2 linked regions of the Pelodiscus sinensis genome follow. The protein of the gene in region 2 binds, or shares a complex with, the protein of the main gene of each other region. Links are inferred from orthologs where the notes say so. Each region holds a gene or a part of one and is shown on either strand. Other genes may lie near its edges. The genes, in order: ELMO1 and DOCK5.

Region 1 (9,641 bases), on a different chromosome or scaffold from region 2:
CAGTTCCAAGCTCCTATATAATACAAGCCATAGAATTCCCCTGAGTTAACTTCTGTCTGAACTAGAGCATCTCTTTTAAAAGCATCCAATCTTGATTTAAAAAATTGTCAGTGATGGAGAATCTACCACCACCTCAGTTCTAATGTTTAACTAACTTCACTGGTTTAAAAAAAGAAATTCTCCTACTTCTAGCCTGACTTTGTCAAACTACAGGATCTTCTTGTACCTAGCTCTGCAAGAGTGAAGTGCTCTCTATCATCAAATTTGATAATTGTCAAATTTCTGTTCCCACTCAGATACTTATGGACTGTGATCAAGCCACCCCTTAACCTTCTTTTTTTCCCCTCAGTGTAAATAGATTGAGTCTTTAAATGAGAGATGGGGAACCTAAGGCCCAGGGGCTGGATCCGGCCCAAGGCAATGCTCATGCTGGTGCTCCAGTCCCCCCACTGTCCCTCCACGGGGCTGGAGTACATAAAATCTACCAAAGGCTCTGGAGAGGAATGTCTCCTTCTCGGGGGGATGGGGGGGCGCCTGCCTCAGTGAGGGGCTTCTGCGGTTTGTTTTTGTTTTTTTTAATTTTTTGTTTCTCACTTGTGTGCGGTCTCTGATTGATTTTTCTGTGGGTCAGCGGCCACCAACCCAAAAAAAGGCTCCCTGCCCCTACTATAAATAATATTTTCCAATACTTCAATTATTCTTGTGGCTCTTCTCCAAACCCTTTCCAATTTATCAGCAGCAAAATGCATCATTTGCTTCTGGAGACCTGAATTCGAGTGATAACAGGGTCATAGATTGGGGAGGAAATTGTGTTTCATGACCTCATAATCTCAAATGAATCCTTACCAAAATCACAGAACCACAAGAGACTTTCATGTTATGCTTGCTAATCTATTCAACAAAGGTGAGGCCCAATGTTGGAGTAACTGGAGGTACATACTGCATGACAGCATGGAGGAGGACTGGAAGAGCTGTGTAAGAAAGCTTGCACTAATCACAGTTATGCGTAAGGATGTCAGTCCCTCACTTTCACATGCACTAAATTTGTGTCTTATATTTTACAAAAGAAACAATATTTAAATCAGGCATTATCTGTAACAACATGGAAAATATGAGATCACATCCAAACACCTCTGAAAAGCCTGACCTTCATAGCAAAGAAAATGTGTGAGCTCAAACCTAATATCAAAGATATTTCTATTAAGAGAGTAAACAAAGAGCGGAAGGAAGGGTGGAGCATCAGCACTGTAGATCTGCAATTTGCCACAGAAGGGCATTGCTATAAGGAAGTATCATACATGCAGCAGCATTTCAGTAACAGTTAAACCTCTAGGAGCACTTACTTTTTCTATTATACACTGGTAGAGAGCATGTAACAAGTTGGCAATAAGGGAGGGGAAATCAAGTCCTCTGACAGTACAATGAACTCAATGTAATACACTTAAATGCTAAGAAATGGAATTGAGTAGATCATTGTTGAAGTATTGTTTTGTTTTGTTTTGCATCAATCTATTGCATTTCTAAAAATATTTTCCATATGTAATCTGTAAAATGCATTGTTAAACTAGTTACTTTCAATGATAAAAATACAGTTGCTCTATCAATGAGTAAAAGAGTCCACCTAGCTAGTCATCAAAATCCATTCAGCTTTAATTCCATTATATTTTTCTAGTGTAATTCAACAACTTCTGGAAAATTCAAAAATCAAGAGAGTAGAAAAAATCCTCAATTTATTTTCTACTTCTTATCAAAGAAACTCAGCCAGCAACACTCTTCCCTAAACTGCAATTTACAGAGAAGACATAAAATGTATAATGCTACATTGTGATCCTCAATAGGATTACAAAAAATGATTAGCCCATTTAAATGTATAGCTTCACTGCCTACAGAAACTGACAGTTACACAGATCTCTAGATTACTAAATCAAATCAGATAGTCAAAGATCTACATGAACTGCTATATCTGCCAAAAGTATCTATTTAATACAGTTAATGCAGCATCGCGATGCTAATCTTTATTACCCAACACACACAAGTAAATTTTAAAAGTTGCTGCAAGATGATTTAATCACTCCCTAAAATTTGTGTTGTCATATGTGCTTCCTTAATGCTACACCACAGTGAGGTTTACCAGTAAATTACCACTAGTTCTTTCTCCTTACTACCTATGTACTACTACACAGTCAGATTACAGCTATTAAATATATCACTAGAATTAAATAGTTCTTTTTCCATTATGGAACTGGCTGGCTTGGAAAACAGAATAGTTTTGATGCACAGACAATTTGAACTCAAGGTTGAGCATGAAAAGAGCCAGGAAAAATGCAGGTATTTTTCTGCATTTGAGAAATAGTCAGCATAGGTTGAGCTACTTAGGAGGCATGTCACTAAAGAAGCCAGTTAGCAATAAACACTGAATGATCTCTAACATGTAGAAAGAGCATGGTCTGGTACCCCATTCACTGATGAGCTAGTCAATCCAATTGCCTAGCCCACATCCCACTTTGAGTAATAAAGGATTTTGTTGTAGTCATCCTTAACTTTTCCCTTCATAAGATTTTAATAAGGGACAGTGCAACAGCCTAAGCTCAAAGTCTAAAGAAAAACTAGATACTTGTAAAGGTATTTCAAATGTATGTATTTACACCACAAATGAGGTTCAAATTATAGACAATATTGTCTATATTAAAGAAGTTAGCACATTATACAGTTCTGGCACCATTATCTTCTTTGGCTCTGTCTTCTCCATGTTTGTCCTACATTTTACCCTTGACAAGTTAAGAGGAAGGCTTACAAAATAATAAAATATGGCTCTTCCCAAATGTACTCAGCTATTTTTCCGAAACTTTGAAATTTATTTTCTATATTCTCAAGAGTGAGCTGGACAGTTGTGTTAATTCTGCAAGGGAAAGATAATCAACATAAACTGCAAGGGCTTTAAGCCAAAAAAACGGAACACTCCACTTCTTAGATTTCATACCCACTTGGTTTAAGGGGTTGTGCACCATGGTTATGCATAATTTCCACCCACATTCCAGCACAATAATTTTATATGAAAATGCATCCTCAGATTATTTGTATAACTATGGGTACAAATCTTAGAAAAGGCAACCCCTTACTGAGAGCTCTTTTACAACTGACTAAAAGTTCTTGGCAAAGAGAGAAGGCATGAACTCAGAAGGTGACTAACTGCAATGAACTAAGGGGCTGGCCTAGATGCAGAGTTGCATTGCTTTAATTTAAGATGTCTTTTTAAACTAATTTGATAATCCCTGCAAGATGCTGTACTGTAGTTCTTAACTGTGTTTCAATCAACCTTATTTCAATGTATCTTGTACATTTTAGAAACAGATATAAATTAAACCAAAATAAGCCATTCTTAAACAGAAAAAAAGAGCATCCATGCTACTATCAGCAGTTACTAAACCAGAACAAGTTTGTATGCAGAGAACCCTTACTCTTTAGGCTTCAAATCTATGATTGGGTTGGAGGAGAAAGGAGAGCAAGGACCTTTAGTTCAACCACCTTCCACCAACATATTAAAAGAGTCTCTCAAATCTTCAGGATGATCCCCCCCAATGCATTAGACACACGTGCCCAAGTGACACACAACTACCCACTGCTCTGCAGACAGCCTGCTTTTGCCTGAGTGCATTTGCAGAGGACACGCAAATTGCTAACGCAGATGTTCCCAACCCACTTTATGAGGTCAACCGTCTCTGAGACCAAGTTGCCACGGCCCAGCACTTTGGAACAAGAGGAGCAGCAGAGAGGGATCTGCGGGCGGCTGGAGAGACATCAACCCCCCCAGCACTCAATTACAAACACAGCGCCCAGCCCTGAACTCCTCTTTCGGGGTGTGACTGGGAGGGGGAGGCCTGGGGCAGGGGGTGAGGGGCGGAGCAGAGCCGGGGCAGAGGGAGCAGGCGGTGTCACGGGGGCGCGAGTGAAAGGGCGGGTCGGGGAGGTGAACGAGCCCCCCCCCCACACACACACACACACACACACACGCGCGCGCGCGCAGCTGCCGGGCCCGGGGCTGTAGCCGCAAAGCAGCCGCCCCGCGCCCTGACCCGGAGCAGCCGGGCGCGCTGACAAGCACGCGGGAGGGCGGCCGCGTTTCCTCTTCCTCAGCGCCGATGTCAGGCAGCCGCTTCCCCCCTGCCCCGGCCGCGCTCCACCCGCCGCCGCCTCCTCCCCTGCGGGGCCGGGCAGCCCCCGGGACGCGTCTCCCTCCTCCCCAGCCGCGGCCAGGTGCGGGCTCTGCTCCCGCCGCCGGCATCCTCCCCCAGCGCCGCCCCCGCTGCCCTCAGCATCCCCCGCGCGGGAACCTGCCGCGCCCCACCTCAGCCCCCCGCAGCGGCGCCTCTCCCCGCAGACCTGCCCCAAGCGAGAGGCGAGTACCTTACAAAACCCGGCTCCACCGTCAGCGGCCGCCAAGTGCAGAGCGGCGCCGGGGGCAAGTTTGCTGCCCTGCTGCAACCAGCGCCTGGCAACTCCGTGGTTTCTTTTCCCCGGCCCGCGCCTCTCCCACCATTGAAGTTGAGCTTTTGACCGCTGCTGTTTTGGTATTTCTGACTCTATCCCATCATCAGACTCAAACACACACACACACTGCTGCTGCTGCTGCTGTTGCTGCTGCTCTCACTTCCTCTTCCTTCCTCCTGCTGGCCACACACCCAATTTGCATCTGCAAGAAGCCCCAAGATAATCTGCGAAGTATCTCTGAAGGAATGCTGAGTAGTTACCAGCACCTGCAAAATGCAGGACGCACCGTTGTGCGTTGTGCGCATCTTTCATGCTCTTTCTGTAATCTTTGGGGTTTTACAATCTACATGGCATGCTGTGATCATGTTTCTTCCCACGATCTCCATTTTGTACATCCCCTTTTAAAAATCACTAAAATGTACAGAATTTTGAAAAAGAAACCTCAGTACTTTTGCTCTAACAATCTTAAGAGATTTTTCATTGGCTGCAGTGAATGATTTTGCAACAGCACCCTTTTAGCTGTTTCTACATAGAACATAATTTTCACTTAAAAAAGGATAAGCAGCATTCAGGTGATCCTGCTACTTAGCACAAACTCTTACAGCATGAGCCGCAGGAGAAATCATCTTTAACTTTCAGCAAACATGACACACACTTCTAGGGTGCATCTACAGAGCACCAGAACTCAAAATTAGATACACAATTTGCATAGCTTAAATTGCATATCTCAGTGTTTCTCAAACTGCTCCACGGAGCCCGAGACATCTCCAGGGGCTCCACGAGGTAGACAAACTGGAAACATAGATAGGTACAACACATACAATCAGTGGACCGCCAGGGCTCTGCATACATTTTTACGCATGTAAAGGGCTCCAGAGCCCAAAAAGTTTGAGAACCACTGGTGTATCTTATTTCAATGCTGTTTCAAAATAGCTTATTTCATTACTTGGAGCTGTCTGCACATTGCCAAATTTCTAAATAAAGTGCTATTCTGAAATGTCCCTTACTCCTCGTAGAATAAGGTTTACAGGGACATCAGAATAGCAAACCCAAAATAACAGGCTTGCTGTGTAGACAGTGGATATCTATTTCAGGATACTCTAGTATCCTGAAATAGCATTGCATTGTAGATCAGTGGTCCCCAACGCAGTGCCCGCAGGCGCCATGGCGCCCCCCGGGCCATTTATGTGCGCCCGCGGAGCAATCTGGGCTGGTCCCGCCCCCGGGCGTGCGGCAGGTGCCAGCCCCGGGCACATGGGCGGCCCCTGACCCGGGGTCGTGGCGCATGCCAGTGCCGGCTCCATGCATGCGGCGCCTGGGCGGCCCCTGCCCAGGGTTGCAGCACATGCTGGTGCCGGCCCTGGCCCCGGGGGCACAGCACATGCCGGTGCCAGCCCCATGCATGTGGCGCCTGGGCGGCCCCTGCCCGGGGTCACAGCACATGCCGGTGCTGGCCCCGGGCGCGCGACACCTGGGCTGCCCCTGCCCGGGGTCACGGCACATGCAGGTGCCGGCCCCGGGCGTGCGGCGCATGCTTGGCCCCACCCCCAAGCACGTGGCCCGTGAGCGGCCCCGCCCCTGTACACGTGGCACGTGAGCAGCCCCGCCCCCAGGCGCCCGGCAGCCCCAAAACGTTGGGGACCACTGGTGTAGATGTACTCATAGGGTGCGTCCACACATCAGGGCTTAACTTGAAATAAGCTACACAAATTGAGCTATGTCAATTGCATAGTTTATTTTGAAATAGCTTATTTTGAAATTGGGAGTGTCTACACAGCACTTATTTCAAAATAGAGCACTCTTCCTCTGTCTTCCCTTACTCTTCATAAAATGAGGGTTACAGGAGTCAGAGTAAGAAGTCCGGCTTGACAGTATTTCAACATTCTTTTGAAATAATTGTCTGCTGTGTAGACGCAGACTACGTTATTTTGAAATAACTCGTTATTTCAAAATAATGTTGCTGTGTAGATGTACCCATATAGTTCAGAATACATCCAGGAGAGGGTGGTAGCACTCATATGCTTTATAATGGATTTTATCAAACGATTAGTAATTTTGAGTGTCCAATTTAAGGAACCCAGCCTGACTTCCAGGAAGTGCAAGCGCCCACTGTCTGACAATCAGATCTCTTTAAATGTCTTTAAACTGCCCCAAAATGGAGGCACCAAAAATCACTAATAACTTTGGAAAATCTTAGCTAGTTCAATACATATTCACAAAACCTATCCTCAAATATCAGGGGTTCTTAGAAGCTCAGATCTTGCTTTTGAATCAAGAGGCCACCTAAGAACTTCCCATTTGTTCCTGTTAGAAGTAGTGTAATATTTGTGCATAATTTATATATTTTTTAAATTATTTATCAATAATTGATGAAAAACACCAACATTTTCAGCAAATACTGGTGTCAATACTACAAAACTTACATATGGGAATAACTGCTTAAATTAATAGTACCGTTGCTTTCACTTTTATAAAAGCACTCACATGCTTAAGTGCTTGCAGGCCTGGGCCCTACAATTACAGTACAATTGCAATACACCAACTCATGTTTATGTGCACCATTGACCTTGAAGAATCGCAGCATTTTAGGCCCCCTACTTGAACTAGAGAAGATGGTGGCCTGTCCTTTGGAGTAGGAAGTTTTATCTCACTGTTTCTATGAAGTTCAGAGTGGTAATGGTATGTGTGCTAGAGCTGACTAAATAATTCAGTGTGAATTAGTCCGTGGTACTACTCACTTAAATAAAACTACTCACATTAAAATGCAGATCTTGTGAATGACCGTGATGGTGATATCACTGATGAGATCACATCTCCAAGACCTGCACATAGAAGTTCTCTGCCACATGTGAACCCAAAAGGGTTGCCAACATTCCAGGATTCGCCTGGTATCACCTGGAATTGGCATGGCTCTTCTGGTGACTTGAAAATAAGCCTGGAGATTTTAATAGGCAATTTTAAGAAAATGACATTATGACATGTTAGGGGGTGGGAGCGGGGGGAGGTGGAATCTCCAGAATAGCTTCAGTCAGAGTTGACAACCCTAGAAACCTACTCTGTATTGTCTTTCCGCCTGCCTGCATGGTAGGAATGACCTACTGCCAAAAAGAGCCCCAGTAGAGCCATGATACTCAGGGATCCTCACTGAGATTTCTTTCCTCTTGGCCTCAGCCTGGTGCAGGAAGGGGTGTTTTGGCCTGATATTTGCAACCTGTGAATGATAGCTGTATAGTACATACTTTGTTAGACTAACTTTAATTTTAAAGTTGTGCTAGTTTTTAAATTAAATAAAGCAAATCATTTACAAAATGTAAAGATACAAACCAGATACGTTTATATTTGTGTTTTCACATATGTTTAATTCATAGTTAAGTGACATAATGAGGTATCCAGAAAGAAAAAGAGATAATAGAAGGGACGTAGAGAAGAACAAAAGTGAATTATAAAATCCTCCAAGAAACTGCTGCTTTCAAGTTTATCCAAGAAGAGAGACCAATCAACATTTGGTGCATGAAATTCACATTGCAGGTAAATGGATTTGTTAAATGGACTGGGAGGGAAGGGGAGAGGGTGTTTAATTGTATTTGTGTGTTTTGTGTTGTATTGTTTTGGTAGGAAGGAGGGTTGTCTAGTTAAATAAATACACAGGATGGTATAATTTTACAAAATATTTTAAACATTTTGTTTACCTATTTTTTTAAATATCAACTCTGGCCCAGATCCTGCAAACATATATACACTTAATTTCATCACTCACAGTTAAGTTAAGTATGTGTGTAAATGTTTGCAGGACTGGGGCATTGAGGTTATTAAAAGTTTTAAAAAAAATAAAATGCAATGTAGTGTTGTTTAGTTAACTTCTATTTTTCTGTCAGATTGGTAATGAAATCAGTGACGTCAGTGTTGCTTTTAGTTTCTTAGTACTGGATTTCAAACTCTATAGGAGAATGTTTATGACTGATATCGGGGAAAAACTAGAAAGCATTCTGAAGACTAGACGCCTCTGATGTGCTCTAGATTATACACAGATCAAGTACTGGCAGCAAGTATACATCAATTCTGAGTTGGAAAACTTTGGATGAGAATTCTTCCATGCATTCCTCAATCACTGGTCTCTTTCAAGTGTCCACCACTAAGCGTACCCATCACTACCCATGATGATAACAGCTTTTGTGCACTAGAGTGACTCCCATTGACTTCACTGGGCCCTGAATCAGCCCCTAAGAACTGGAGTTGGTACATTTGCTAAGTATTTCCAAAGAGCCAGAAGAGGGAGCAAGGGAGCACAGTATGCTGAATACTGTGTATTTTATTTTGTGTGGGGTATTTCAGCTACAACCCTAAAAATAAAGGCAAAGATTTTCAAAGGACTTATGATATTTGGTGCCCTGCTTGAGACACCGCAACGGGGAATCAAGCAGGTTCTCGGCATTTTCTGAAAATCATCTCAAGTTGATCATCCAAATTCTATTATTTTTAAAAATCAGTGCCCTGTCCTTGAATTCATGTAAAGATCTTATGACTATTTTTGTAATGGTAGGGTTTCTACATACAGTTTTCATTGTAATCATTGGGGTCCAACATCCAGCTTGCTGCCCTTTAGTTCCACAGATGGATGTACTTCAGAATTGCTATATGTATATAGATCTTGTCTTGTAAATCCTTGCTTCCATGACTAGTCTGTATTCATATGAGAAATTGCATTGTCTACATAAAATAAGGATTTACAGGTTCACAGCCACAATGTTTAATGCACTTTGAGGTGCAAACTGCCATATAAATGGTATCAGATTATTATTCTTTTTTTATCACAGATAATTTATTTCCTTTTAGTGCTTTGAACATGCTAGTTTATTTGTTTACAAAATATTTTTGCAAATAGTTTATAACAGATTTCAAAATTGTGTCAAAATTGCTTGACCATGATGGCAGTAATTCTAAAAAGAAGTGGCTTGTGGAACTTGAACTTCAGTTCCTACTTTATAATATGCTTACAAATCTCAGTGCATGCTGAAACATCCCTAAACAAATGTTGTCGGTTCAGTTATACAAATGCATGTTACAAGAAGGGCTTTTTAAGTGAATCAATATACTTTAAGCCTGTTTCTGAGTAAATCCATTTCAAAATTATATGTACTCCCATTTTAACACTG
Region 2 (10,583 bases):
TTATTTTAAAATGCCGCCAGGCAGCTCCCACCTCAGTTTTGCAGCTTCTCTCTCCACTCCCACTTCCCTATGCCACTCGGTGAAGCTTCCTCTCCCGGAATCATTGCACAGACATACCCTCAGTCCTCCGTACCCCATTCCCCTCCCTATAACCCATGGGGGCGAGGAAGCCAGACACTGCAGCACAGTCACTGTCGCTGTCTCCCCCTTCCTTCCCCATCTGGATGGCCTTCGGAGGCCGCCGTAGAGGCAGACTGGAGTGCCAACAAGCACCCCACAACCAGGGTCAGTTCTAAGGCAGGAGACACACTTGCAGTAGTGAATGAAAACCAAAGCAACACAGAACTACGCTGGGTCTCGATCCCCCCTTCCAACTCCAAGGTCTCGAAGCTAAATAAAGTCCCAAGGAATATCAGCAGCTGAAAGCTCCAGGCAAAGACCAAAGTGGGGGGGGGGGGGGGGGAGGGAGGAATCAAAGAGTAGCGCAAGGGAATCAAAATGCAGTCAGAAGAATTCAAAGGGGCAAGCTAGAAGGGGTGGGTGGCATGAAGTCAAAAGGTCACGAATGGGGATGGGAGAAGAAATTAAATAAGCAGGGTGGAGACAAATGAGAGAAAAATCAATGTGGGGTGAAGGGGGTGAGAGAAACTGCAGTAGGGCGGGGGAATCGCAGGTGCTGTGGGGCAGGAGCTACGCAAATAACGAATCAGAGGGGAGATGAATATTCGCTGGGACCACAGGCGGGGCTGCTGAGGGAGAAGGGAACACGGGTAGGGGTTTCAGAGAGCGCAGTGGTGAGGGGGTAGCTGCAGAGGGAGGTGCATAGTGAGAGAGCAAGGCATGTTGGGGTGGGGGAAGAGGTTGCATAGGTGCATACACAGAGATGGCTGGCGTAGCGTGTGAGGGGAAGCGCCCTGGGGGAGTAAAGCAGCAGTTCTCAAACTGTGGGTCAGGACCCACAAGTGAGTCACCACCAGTGTTTAGGGATGTAAGCTTATCAGATAGTTGACACACCAGTCCTTCTCCCCCCTTGCTGCTTCTATCTCAAAGAGGAAGCAAGGGGGCAGTGGAAGAGGAAGGGATACGAAGGGTGGGGGAACCGGCTTAAAAGCCGGTTCCCCCCAGCTCCGTGGGAGGGGGTAAGTGCGCAGCAGCGGCGTTCCACCTTTGAAATGTACAAGAGTCCCTGCTGGGGCTCTTGTACATTCCAAAGCGGAAGCGCCACCTGGAGTCTGGGGCCAGTGGGGGACTCAGAGAACCCTGGGGATCTTGTACATTTCAAAGGCGAAACACTGCAGGGCACTTCCGCCTTTGAAATATAGCAACAGCCCAGCCGGCTCTTGCTACATGTCAAAGCAAAAGCGCCTTTCTCGACTAAATGAATAGTCGATGAAAATTCCATCGACTCTTTGATTCGTTGATTAATCTAATTTTAACATCCCTACCAGTGTTCCCTGTAAGCTGAGTGCTTGGGCAACTGCTCAGGAGAGATTCAAGTGCCACCCAGCTGATTAGCAGAGCACCCACAGCTAGGTTTGTGTTTATACTGGTGGTGCACATAAGCATATACCTCAGTGCACATAGAAAAATTATTCTGCACATGGGTGAGGAAAAAATCCACACGTGGATGGAAAAGATTAGAGGGAAAATTGGTCACAGCCCCGTTTTAATGGGATTGCCAGGGCTCAGGCCTGCTGCCTGGGGTTGAAGCCTTTGCTCATTAACTTTGTCCCCCCTAGGCCAGGAGATGGGGTTCAGACTTTCTTCACAGAGTAACTGGGTGGTGGTACAATGAAGTCTGAGAGCCCGTGGAGTAGAGGACATAGCAGAGTGCCTGGGGACGCAGCGGGTGGGGTCAGAGGAGAGAGGGGGAGTTGCATGGGGGTGGAGTGGAACAGCAAGAGAGCGCATGCACTGGGGTAGGAGGGTGTACAGGGAAATCCAGGCAGCGGAAAGCAGACAGGGCAGGGCACTAGAGGAGCATTTGGGTTGGAGGGCTGTAGTGGGGCAGCTGGACAGTGTTTGGGTTGTAAGGTATTTGCAATAAGGCAAAGGGTGCAGGGGGAGTGTTGAGGATGGGGGGTTGCAGTAGGGCAGAGGGGCAGTGTCGAGGGTTGCGGGGGGTGGGGTGTTTAGGACTGGGGGCTATAGTGGGAGGGAGGGCGCTGCAGTGAGGGGAGTATACGGGGTGAAGAGTTGCAGAGAGAGGCGTCCATGGAGAATGCCTGGGGAGAGTGTTCGGGATGGGGGCTGAAATAGGGTTTGCACTGGAGAAGGTGTTCGGGGGCTGCAGTGATCATTGCAGTGGGGGGGATATTTGGAAGGAGTTTGCAGTGAAGGCAAGGTGGGGGCTGCAATGGGCAGAGCGGCATGGGCAGACCGCAGAGTGCGGGGGAGCCCAGGCAAAGTGGGGTGCTGGGGGGGTGCAGTGGGGAGCCCGGGCAATGCAGGGGATGTTCGGGGGAGGTGCAGTTGGGAGGGTGCAGTGGGAAGCCCAGGCAGTACAGCAGGGAACCCGGGAGTGCGAGGTGGGGGGCACGTGCAGCGGAAGGGTGTTGGGGGGGGTGCAGCAGGGAGCCTGGGCCATGAGGGATGTGGGGGTGCAGTGGGGAACCCCGGCCATGTGGGGTGGAGGGTACAGAAGGAGGGTGTTAGGGGGTGTGCAGTGTGGGGAGTTAGGGGGTGCAGCGGGGAGCCCTGGCCGTGTTGGGTGTGGGGGTGCAGCAGGAGGGAGTTGGAGGTGCAGCAGGAAGGGCTTGGGGGGTGAAGAGCAGCGGGGAGCCCGAGCTGTGCGGGGGGGGTGCAACGCAGGGAGTTGGGGTGCAGTGCGGAGAGCTGGGGGGTGCAGCGGGGAGCTCGGGCCGTAAGGAGGTTTGGGGGTGCAGCACGGGGAGTTGGGGGTGCAGCGGGAGGATGCAGCGCAGAGAGCTGAGGGGGTTCAGTGGGGAGCCTGGGCCGTGAGGGGGGGTGCAGCGCGGGGAGTTGGGGGGGTTCAGCGAGGAGCCCGGGCCGTGAGGAGGTTTGGGGGTGCAGCACGGAGAGTTGGGGGTGCAGCAGGAGGATGCAGTGCAGGGAGCTGGGGGGGTTCAGTGGGGAGCCCGGGCAGTGCAGGGGGGAGCAGTGCGGGGAGCTGGGGGGGTTCAGCGAGGAGCCCGGGCCGTGAGGAGGTTTGGGGGTGCAGCGCGGGGAGTTGGGGGTGCAGCGAGGAGCCCGGGCCGTGCAGGGGGTGCAGCGCGGGGAGTTGGGGGTGCAACGGGCGGGTGCAGTGCGGAGAGCCGGGGGGGTGCAGCGCGGAGAGCCGGGGGGGTGCAGCAGGGAGCCCGGGCCGTGAGGGGGTTTGGGGGTGCAGCGCGGGGAGTTGGGGGTGCAACGGGAGGATGCAGTGCGGGGAGACGGGGGGGCAGCGGGGAGCAGGGGGGGTGCAGCAGGGAGCCCGGGCCGTGAGGGTGCAGCGCGGGGAGTTGGGGGTGCAACGGGAGGATGCAGCGCGGGGAGCCTGGGGGGGGGGGTGCAGCGGGGAGCCCGGGGGGCAGCGGGGAGCCGGGGGGCCGGGCGGTCTCCCGGCGGCGGGGCGCGCACTCACCGACCCCGTACTTCTCCCGCTTGGTGGGGATCCAGCGGGCCATGCTGGCGGCGGCGGCCGGGCGCTCCCCGCGGAGGCTCAGCGCGGCAGGCGCTGCGCTGCCCCCGGCTCCCGGCGCGGCTGGGTCGGGCTGGGCGCCCCGGGCTGCTCCGCCATGTTCGGGGCCCCGCTGCGAACCCGCCGCTCGGCGACTCACTTCCCGGCGCCGGGCCCCTTCCCCGCCTCCTGCCCGGGAGGGATCACCTGCTGCGCCCGCCCCAGCGCCCGCAACGCGGCTCCCCGGGGCTCGGAGCGAGCGCCCCCTTCCCAGGGCACCTCCACCCAGCCCGGGCTCGGAGCTGCACCTCTGCCCCCGGCACCCTCCGCTCTGCGCCCCCTTCCCCGCCCCAGACTTGGGCAACTTCCCAGCCGGGCAGGGATTGGCTCCGGAGCAGCCCTGTTAACCCTCTGCCCCCCGCAGCCGGGAGCGAGTCCAGAGGCGGCGGCGGCTCCCGAAGCGTTCCCCCGCCTCGCTGCTTTGCCAGGGTTGACGTGCGGGGGGGAGGCGAGCCAAGCCGCAGCATGGGCTTGGGGAAAGCGGAGCCCGGTGCCAGACCCTCGCTTCACGCTCCCCGAAGCGAATCCGGGACAGGGGCAAGCGGGGTGGGGGAGGTTTCCAAACACGAGCAGCGTGGCTGAGTTTGCATTGGGCTGGAATGACGAGTCCTGCCCTAAAACCATTCCCAGGGCTGGGGAAACAAAGGCAAGAGCAGGAACAATCAAGGTGTCCGAACGGGCTCAAAACTCGTCTTGACTTCAGCTTGTGCAGGCTTGGGACCCTGGATGAGCCATTTCAAAGGCACCTCCCCCCAGTTATGTTTCCATTACCTGCAGGCCCTGCTCCTGCAAACTGATGGGTGCAGGTTTGAGGCTTATGCCCCCAAACCAGGTATCATCCATTAGCAGTGAGGAAAATCACTGGGGGTGGGGAAGGTTTTCAGATGGACCCAAGACATTCTCTTGTATAACACAGGTGGGGAAAAAGTAGGGGGAGCTGGAGGTGCAACGGGAGAGACCCCACAGCTAGGTTTGTGTTTCTATTGGTGGTGCACATTTGCTCGTGCCTTGGTGCATGTAGACAAATTTATTCCACACACAGATGGGAAAGATTAGAGGGAACACTGATGTGGCTACTACTGATGTAACTTTAGGGTGCATTTATGCTTGGAACCAGGGCTCTGAATAGCAGGGCAGTCTAGCTGCTCTGAGTAGGAGTCGGCGGCTATGTCTACACTCGCGGCTTCTTGCGTGAGAAATATGCAAATGAGAGTAAGCGTGGAATATCACCGAGCCTCATTTGCATACCTCATGAGCCGCCATTTTTGCAGAAGAGGCTCTTGTGCTGGAAGGAGTTGTCTATACTGCCCCTTCTTGCGAAAGAAAAACCCTCTTGTGCAATACCGTTATTCCTACGTAATCGGCGTAGCAGCATAGTGCAAGAGGCTTTTTCTTGCGTAAGAAGGAGCAGTGTAGACAGCTCCTTCTAGCTCAAGAGCCTCTTCTGCAAAAATGGCAGCTCATTAGGTATGCAAATGAGGCTCAGCAATAGGCCATGCTTAGCCTCATTTACATATTTCTTGCGCAAGAAACTGCGAGTGTAGACATAGCCTATGATGTAGAATGGGTATGTAGATCCATTGGCTAGCCCCTCCCATCTCTCCGTAGGCTGTGCCTTGCATAGTGGGGTCCTGTAGGTCCTACTGTAATAAACAATATCTTGCCTCTTCTCCCAAGACAGAAGCTTAGTTTCACACATCAAGAACTGCTTTTACTACTACAGTCCATACTGTACTGTATCTTTAAATATACCTGGCGGTGTCAAAATATGTAGCTGGAGGGTTTGTTACATGCACAGTAAGTTAGTCATCCTGTGGTGGTGAAGTGTTGCAAGGTTACACCCAGTTTCGTTTAGAAAACCCAAGCCATCTACTAAAAAAGATGTCGTGCATTTGTTTCCAAGCGCTGCTCAGGATGTTTTTGTGACGGCCGTACCTTTATGATAACAAACACACCTAAGGCCATGAATGTGGCTGGACCCTGAGGATGGGCGATGGTAACTCTGACCAGCAGATCGGAGACGAGTGTGTTTCGTGGCTGGAACAAGAGGCAAGTCAGAACGAGTTGAACAATTTATTCTTTACATAACACCAGGTAATTGACATGTGGCATGTAAGACAGGATCCTTGTCCCTAACACTGTATCGTTTCTGACCCGGATCCTCGAAACCTCCTGACGGTTCCCGACACCTGACAGGAGGTGCCCAGCACCTTTCAAAATCCTTTCCCTCACCCTGAGATGTGAGCACTGTATGAAATCATGAGAAAGAATAAAGATCAAGCACGTAGAACATCTGTCCTTCTCCTACTGTACATAACTTGTCCGATAAATTGGGTTTTGCAAATCCCTGAACTCCATAAGATTCACCCATCCCACCTTTATGATCCTATGCCAAGGATCAGTTGTGCTGAGTCAGGAGATGGTGCAGCCTTCGCCTTGCGTTCCTGTGCAAGACCACGCATGTGGCCAAAAGTGCGTGTTTCTCAACCTTTTTTTAAACCTTCTAAAAAAAATAATTATAAGTACCCCCAGTACCTACAGTTTTCAGACACACAGAGTTTGTGTTTACCATGGCAACACATTTGTTTAAACAACTTAATCGTAACCAGGTGGGTGATGAAATGTTTGGCTGTAAAAAGTACAAAAATAATAAAACGCTGTAAAACTTAAAACAGAAATTCAGTTTTCTCCAAATTTCAGTTGGGTTGACGTGCCCCCAGACGTCTCTCAAGTCCCCCTAAGGGTACTCGTACCACTGGTTGAGAAATACTTTTGTAGTAGACAACTCTGATTAGTGCTTCAAGCCAATAACCATTTTGCTGTGTGCTGCAGTGTGTTACCTTTGAGCAAACATTCAAATCAGTTACAGCACCCCTCCCTAGGATATCCTTAGATAGGGCTGGAGCAGACACAACTCCTGTTTCTTATCACAGGCACCACGCTTTGAAGTGGCTTTCTGAGCTGTCGGAGCAAAAGGAGAAGAGAGAAATAGACTAGACATAAAGAGCTCCATTTTGAAAAGGGCCCCACCCCACGGTTGGGGTCAGATTATCGAGAAAAGCACCAAACTAAGTGTCCATGTTTTCACTATAACGCAGCATATTGGAGACATGCCCGGGGACTGAGCTCTTTCCAAAATCCGGCCCTTATTTAGATGCGTAAATGGGAGCTTTTTTTCCTTAATATGAGCCTCCAAGTGTAGCTTGTTAAACTCTCTGCTGCTACTCAGGCCCACCAATAGGGGATGGGCAAAGGGGGCAGTTGCCGTGATTCAAAGGGGCATTTGGTGGCCCCGGGCGACTGCCCAGCTCACCCGGGTAGGGTTGCTATCTACTATATATTAAAAAAAAAAAAAAAAAACGGACAAATATTTGTAAAGCAAAAAAAGGGGGGTCAGGGAGTAACCAGGGAAATGTAGCGGGATGGCTCGTGATGTTGGGCCGAAATGGGGTTTGTGGCCCACCCCTATCACTGGCTCCATTGGCGGCCCCTTGAAAATGGCATCTCCAAGCAACTGCTTAACTCACCCACCCCTAAGACGAGCTCTAAGGCCTGGGGCTCTGAGGGCTTGGGGAGTCCAGTGCCACGGTCTGGTCGGCACTAAGAGCTGGCTGCACCAGCCTTGCCCCATTCGCCTGAAGCCCCACCTCTTAGGGGCACATGGAGCTACCCCACACACACCTTTCCCAGGGGTCTGCAGAAGCTGTCGGCCCCCTGCTGCCACTAGTACCACAGAGGGCTGGTAACTTTGGCTGTGTACTGGTGTCAGAAACATTACAATCATGACACAACTGTTTTCAACGTGTTTAAGATTCTGCTCGTTTTCCAGGCGAGGCAAGGCAAATTCCCTGCAGCAAATGAAAAACAAAAAGCAAAACACACCTGGTGACGTGTCCTATTTAGGAAAAGTTGGGTGAATTTTTCTTACATAGAACATCAGTTCTGTGCCTAGTAAACAGTCCCAGATGTATCTCCTTCCTCTCGCTGTGTTTTTTGTTGTTGCTTAGAGAAGTGATTCTGGGTAAGTTGCACCTTCTTCACTTTTACTCCCTGTGAGTCTTTAGTCATATCTGCTCAATTAAAAAAAAAAGTTATATATCACTGCTTAACCAACATAGACCTGGGAGTGTGAGCTGGAGTCTATTCCCTCAACAGACCTATAGGCTAAATTCTGATTGAGATGAATTTGGCCCATCAATACTAATGTACTATATATTTTGGAAACTTTGTCTGTGTGTCTGTCCATGAGAGAGTTTGTTCAAGAACTTCTACTAAATGGTAAGAGCAAAGAGGAACACCAAATTTGGTAGGCAGCTTCCTGTTATCATAACTTAAAGCAGGGTCAGAGTTTGGCTGTGCCAGGACAATGGGATGTGCTTAGAATTCGACTGTTTCTCATCAAATGAAAAAGGAGAGGTCTGGGAGGAGGGACAGTTATACTATAAAATGACCACAGGGGGCAGCAAAGGACCAGAGATGGGGATCAAGACAGCTATAATCCCATTGGGCCAGCAGGGGGCAAGGGTGGAGAAAGGAACAGGTATCTACTATATATTTTAGAGAGTTTGTCTGTTTGTGGGTCTGTATGTCTTTGTGTGTCTATCTATCCCCCAGCTGGAGGACATGCACCCCTCCACTGGCTGTGCCTGCAGCAGGTGCAGTGGCCATGAAGAAGCACTTCTCACCTGGCCCCAAGCTGCTGCAATGAGAGGGCTGGGGTTGTCCTTTCTCCCAGGGCAGCCTCCATACTGACCCCCTCGTCCCCAGCCCTACCCCAGAGCAATGGTTTAAATGAAGAAAAACAGAACATTTTTGAGTTAAGGACCCAAGCGACGCTCAGTAAATCTTCTAGTTTAACAATGTAGAAGGGATGGTCTGATGACTGAGACACTATGGGTACATCTAGACTACAGGCTTTTGTCGACAGAAGTTTTGTCGACAGATACTGTCGACAAAGCTTCTGTCGACAAAGAGCATCTACACTACATTCAGTTCTGTCGACAAAGCAAGCTGCTTTGTCAACTTGGCAGTGTAGATGCAAAGGACAGTTTAGATGCAATAACGCTTTCTGTCAACAGAACTCTGTCAACAGAAGGCGTTATGCCTCGTAAAATGAGGTTTATCAGCGTCGACAAAACTGCTGAGTTCTGTCGACGTTCTGTCGACAGAACTCAGCGGAAGTGTAGACGCAGGTTTAGTTTTGTCGACAAAAGTCCACTTTTGTCGACAAAATCCTGTAGTCTAGACACACCCTTTATTGGGACTAAGGAGATTTACATCCAGTTCCTCCCAATGTGACCTTGGCCCAAGGCCTCTTAGAGTTTGAATTTAAGGGTTGTTGATCCTTCACAGCTCCCCTTAAACTCAATTAGCCCCTCATTTCTCTGTGTCTCAGTTCCCCACCTGTACAACTAGGGGTGAATAGTCTCTCTGTTTCATAGGGAGGTTGGGAATATATATTCATGAGTAGTTCCAAAGCACTCGGACCCAGATCCTCAAAGGCATTTAGACTCCTCCGTTACTGTTAAGGTTCAAGAAGGGCCACAAAAGTGATTAGAGGTTTGGAACGGGTCCCATATGAAGAGAGATTAAAAAGACTTTTCAGCCTAGAAAAGAGGAAACTATGGGGGATAGGGAGAGATATGATAGAAGTCTAGAAAATCATGACTGGTGTGGAAAAATTGAATGAGGAAAGTTATTTACTTGTTCCCATAACAGAAGAACGAGGGATCACCAAATGAAATTAATAGGTAGCAGGTTTAAAACAAATAAAAGGAAGTTTTTCTTCACGCAGCGCACAGTCAACCTGCGGAACTCTTTGCCAGAGGATGTTGTACAGACTAGGACTTTAACAGGGTTCAAAAAAGAGCTAGAGTCATGGAGGTTAGGTCCATCAAGGGCTAGTAGCCAGGATGGGTAGGAATGGCGTCCTTAGCCTCTGTTTGTCTGGAAACGGATGACATGAGGGATCACGTGAGGATTACCTGTTGTGTTCCCTCCCTCTGGGGCATCTGGCATTGGCCACAGTCGGCAGACAGGATACTGGGCTAGATGGACCTTTGGCCTGACCCAGTATGGCCGTTCTCATGTTCTTATGATGGGGTCACATAAGTACCTAGCTACTAGAGTTTCCATCACCACTCCTTGGAATATGGCCCAATGGTCCCCAAGAAAGACACTTACCTAGCCTAGTACAAAGGACCCTTTCCAGCAGATTTTCAAAGTTTCTCCGTGCTTCCTTTTTCTTGCTGACGGGGAGTTTTAGAAGCATTATCTTACCGGATCAAAAAGATCCTCTATGCAGGGCAAAACGGTCCTCTTTCTGTGGCATCACTGAGCTAAAATGACAGATAATAAATGTTGTGAGCAATGGGCCAGAGCTCTGTTTGATTGCAGGGCAGGGACTTATCTGGAGCTGGCTTATCTTGGAGGCAGACACACACAGTGAGCACAAGGGTCTGAGCCAAGGCCCCACTGTGGGTGTCACAGGGACAGGAGCGGCCCTAGACGAGCTGCCGGCAACTGGCTCCCTAGGCGAAAAGGCGTGATTGGCATGCTATCAGTGCTCCCGCCTCCAAAGCCTGCAACGGCCGTTTATCTTGGTGTCCTAGGTGACCGCCTAGGTTGCCTGTATTGACGGGCTGCCACTGCACAGGGGTTCTGTTCCCAGCTCAGCCATTGACTTGTTTCATGACAATGGACTATTCCCATCCTCTCATAGGCCTGGAGGAAACCATACCTACTCATTTAAAGTGCTTGGAGACCTAAAAGTTCTTCATGCAGTCTGGTTTTCTTAAATACACATAATGAAAAGTCCAGGTTGAACTGTGTGCTGATTTACTCCACCTTGTAGTCAATGTGCAAATCCAAGCCAGTAAAGAACATGACCGCGGCTACGTCTACA

Evidence for each region.
Region 1: the proteins of DOCK5 (region 2) and ELMO1 are in contact, whole or in part, in a cryo-EM structure (PDB 8JHK), measured with the Homo sapiens proteins. The link is inferred for Pelodiscus sinensis from reciprocal best matches to the Homo sapiens genes DOCK5 and ELMO1. Residues at the interface, in NP_079216.4 of Homo sapiens: Met1, Ala2, Arg3, Trp4, Val14, Ala15, Ile16, Tyr17, Asn18, Ser22, Gln23, Gln30, Ile31, Gly32, Asp33, Thr34, Glu39, Tyr41, Gly43, Trp44, Arg46, Tyr48, Lys56, Ile58, Pro60, Glu61, Thr62, Tyr63, His65, Leu66; in NP_001193409.1 of Homo sapiens: Ile7, Val8, Lys9, Ala11, Tyr18, Pro19, Leu21, Glu23, Glu36, Asp39, Gly40, Ser42, Asn71, Gly72, Gln392, Asp393, Leu400, Glu401, Lys468, Arg531, Glu535, Leu536, Lys539, Leu547, Gln550, Gln551, Asn554, Arg555, Asn582, Thr688.

What each region holds. Positions count from the first base shown.
Region 1 is NC_134712.1:168,649,041-168,658,681, reverse strand, and holds the start of ELMO1 (engulfment and cell motility protein 1), read right to left. Parts: upstream 4,663-9,641; 5' UTR 4,405-4,662; intron 1-4,404. UniProt on the Homo sapiens protein: Involved in cytoskeletal rearrangements required for phagocytosis of apoptotic cells and cell motility. Acts in association with DOCK1 and CRK. Was initially proposed to be required in complex with DOCK1 to activate Rac Rho small GTPases.
Region 2 is NC_134738.1:9,591,644-9,602,226, forward strand, and holds the start of DOCK5 (dedicator of cytokinesis protein 5), read right to left. Parts: upstream 4,071-10,583; 5' UTR 3,627-4,070; coding exon 3,584-3,626; intron 1-3,583. UniProt on the Homo sapiens protein: Guanine nucleotide exchange factor (GEF) for Rho and Rac. GEF proteins activate small GTPases by exchanging bound GDP for free GTP. Along with DOCK1, mediates CRK/CRKL regulation of epithelial and endothelial cell spreading and migration on type IV collagen.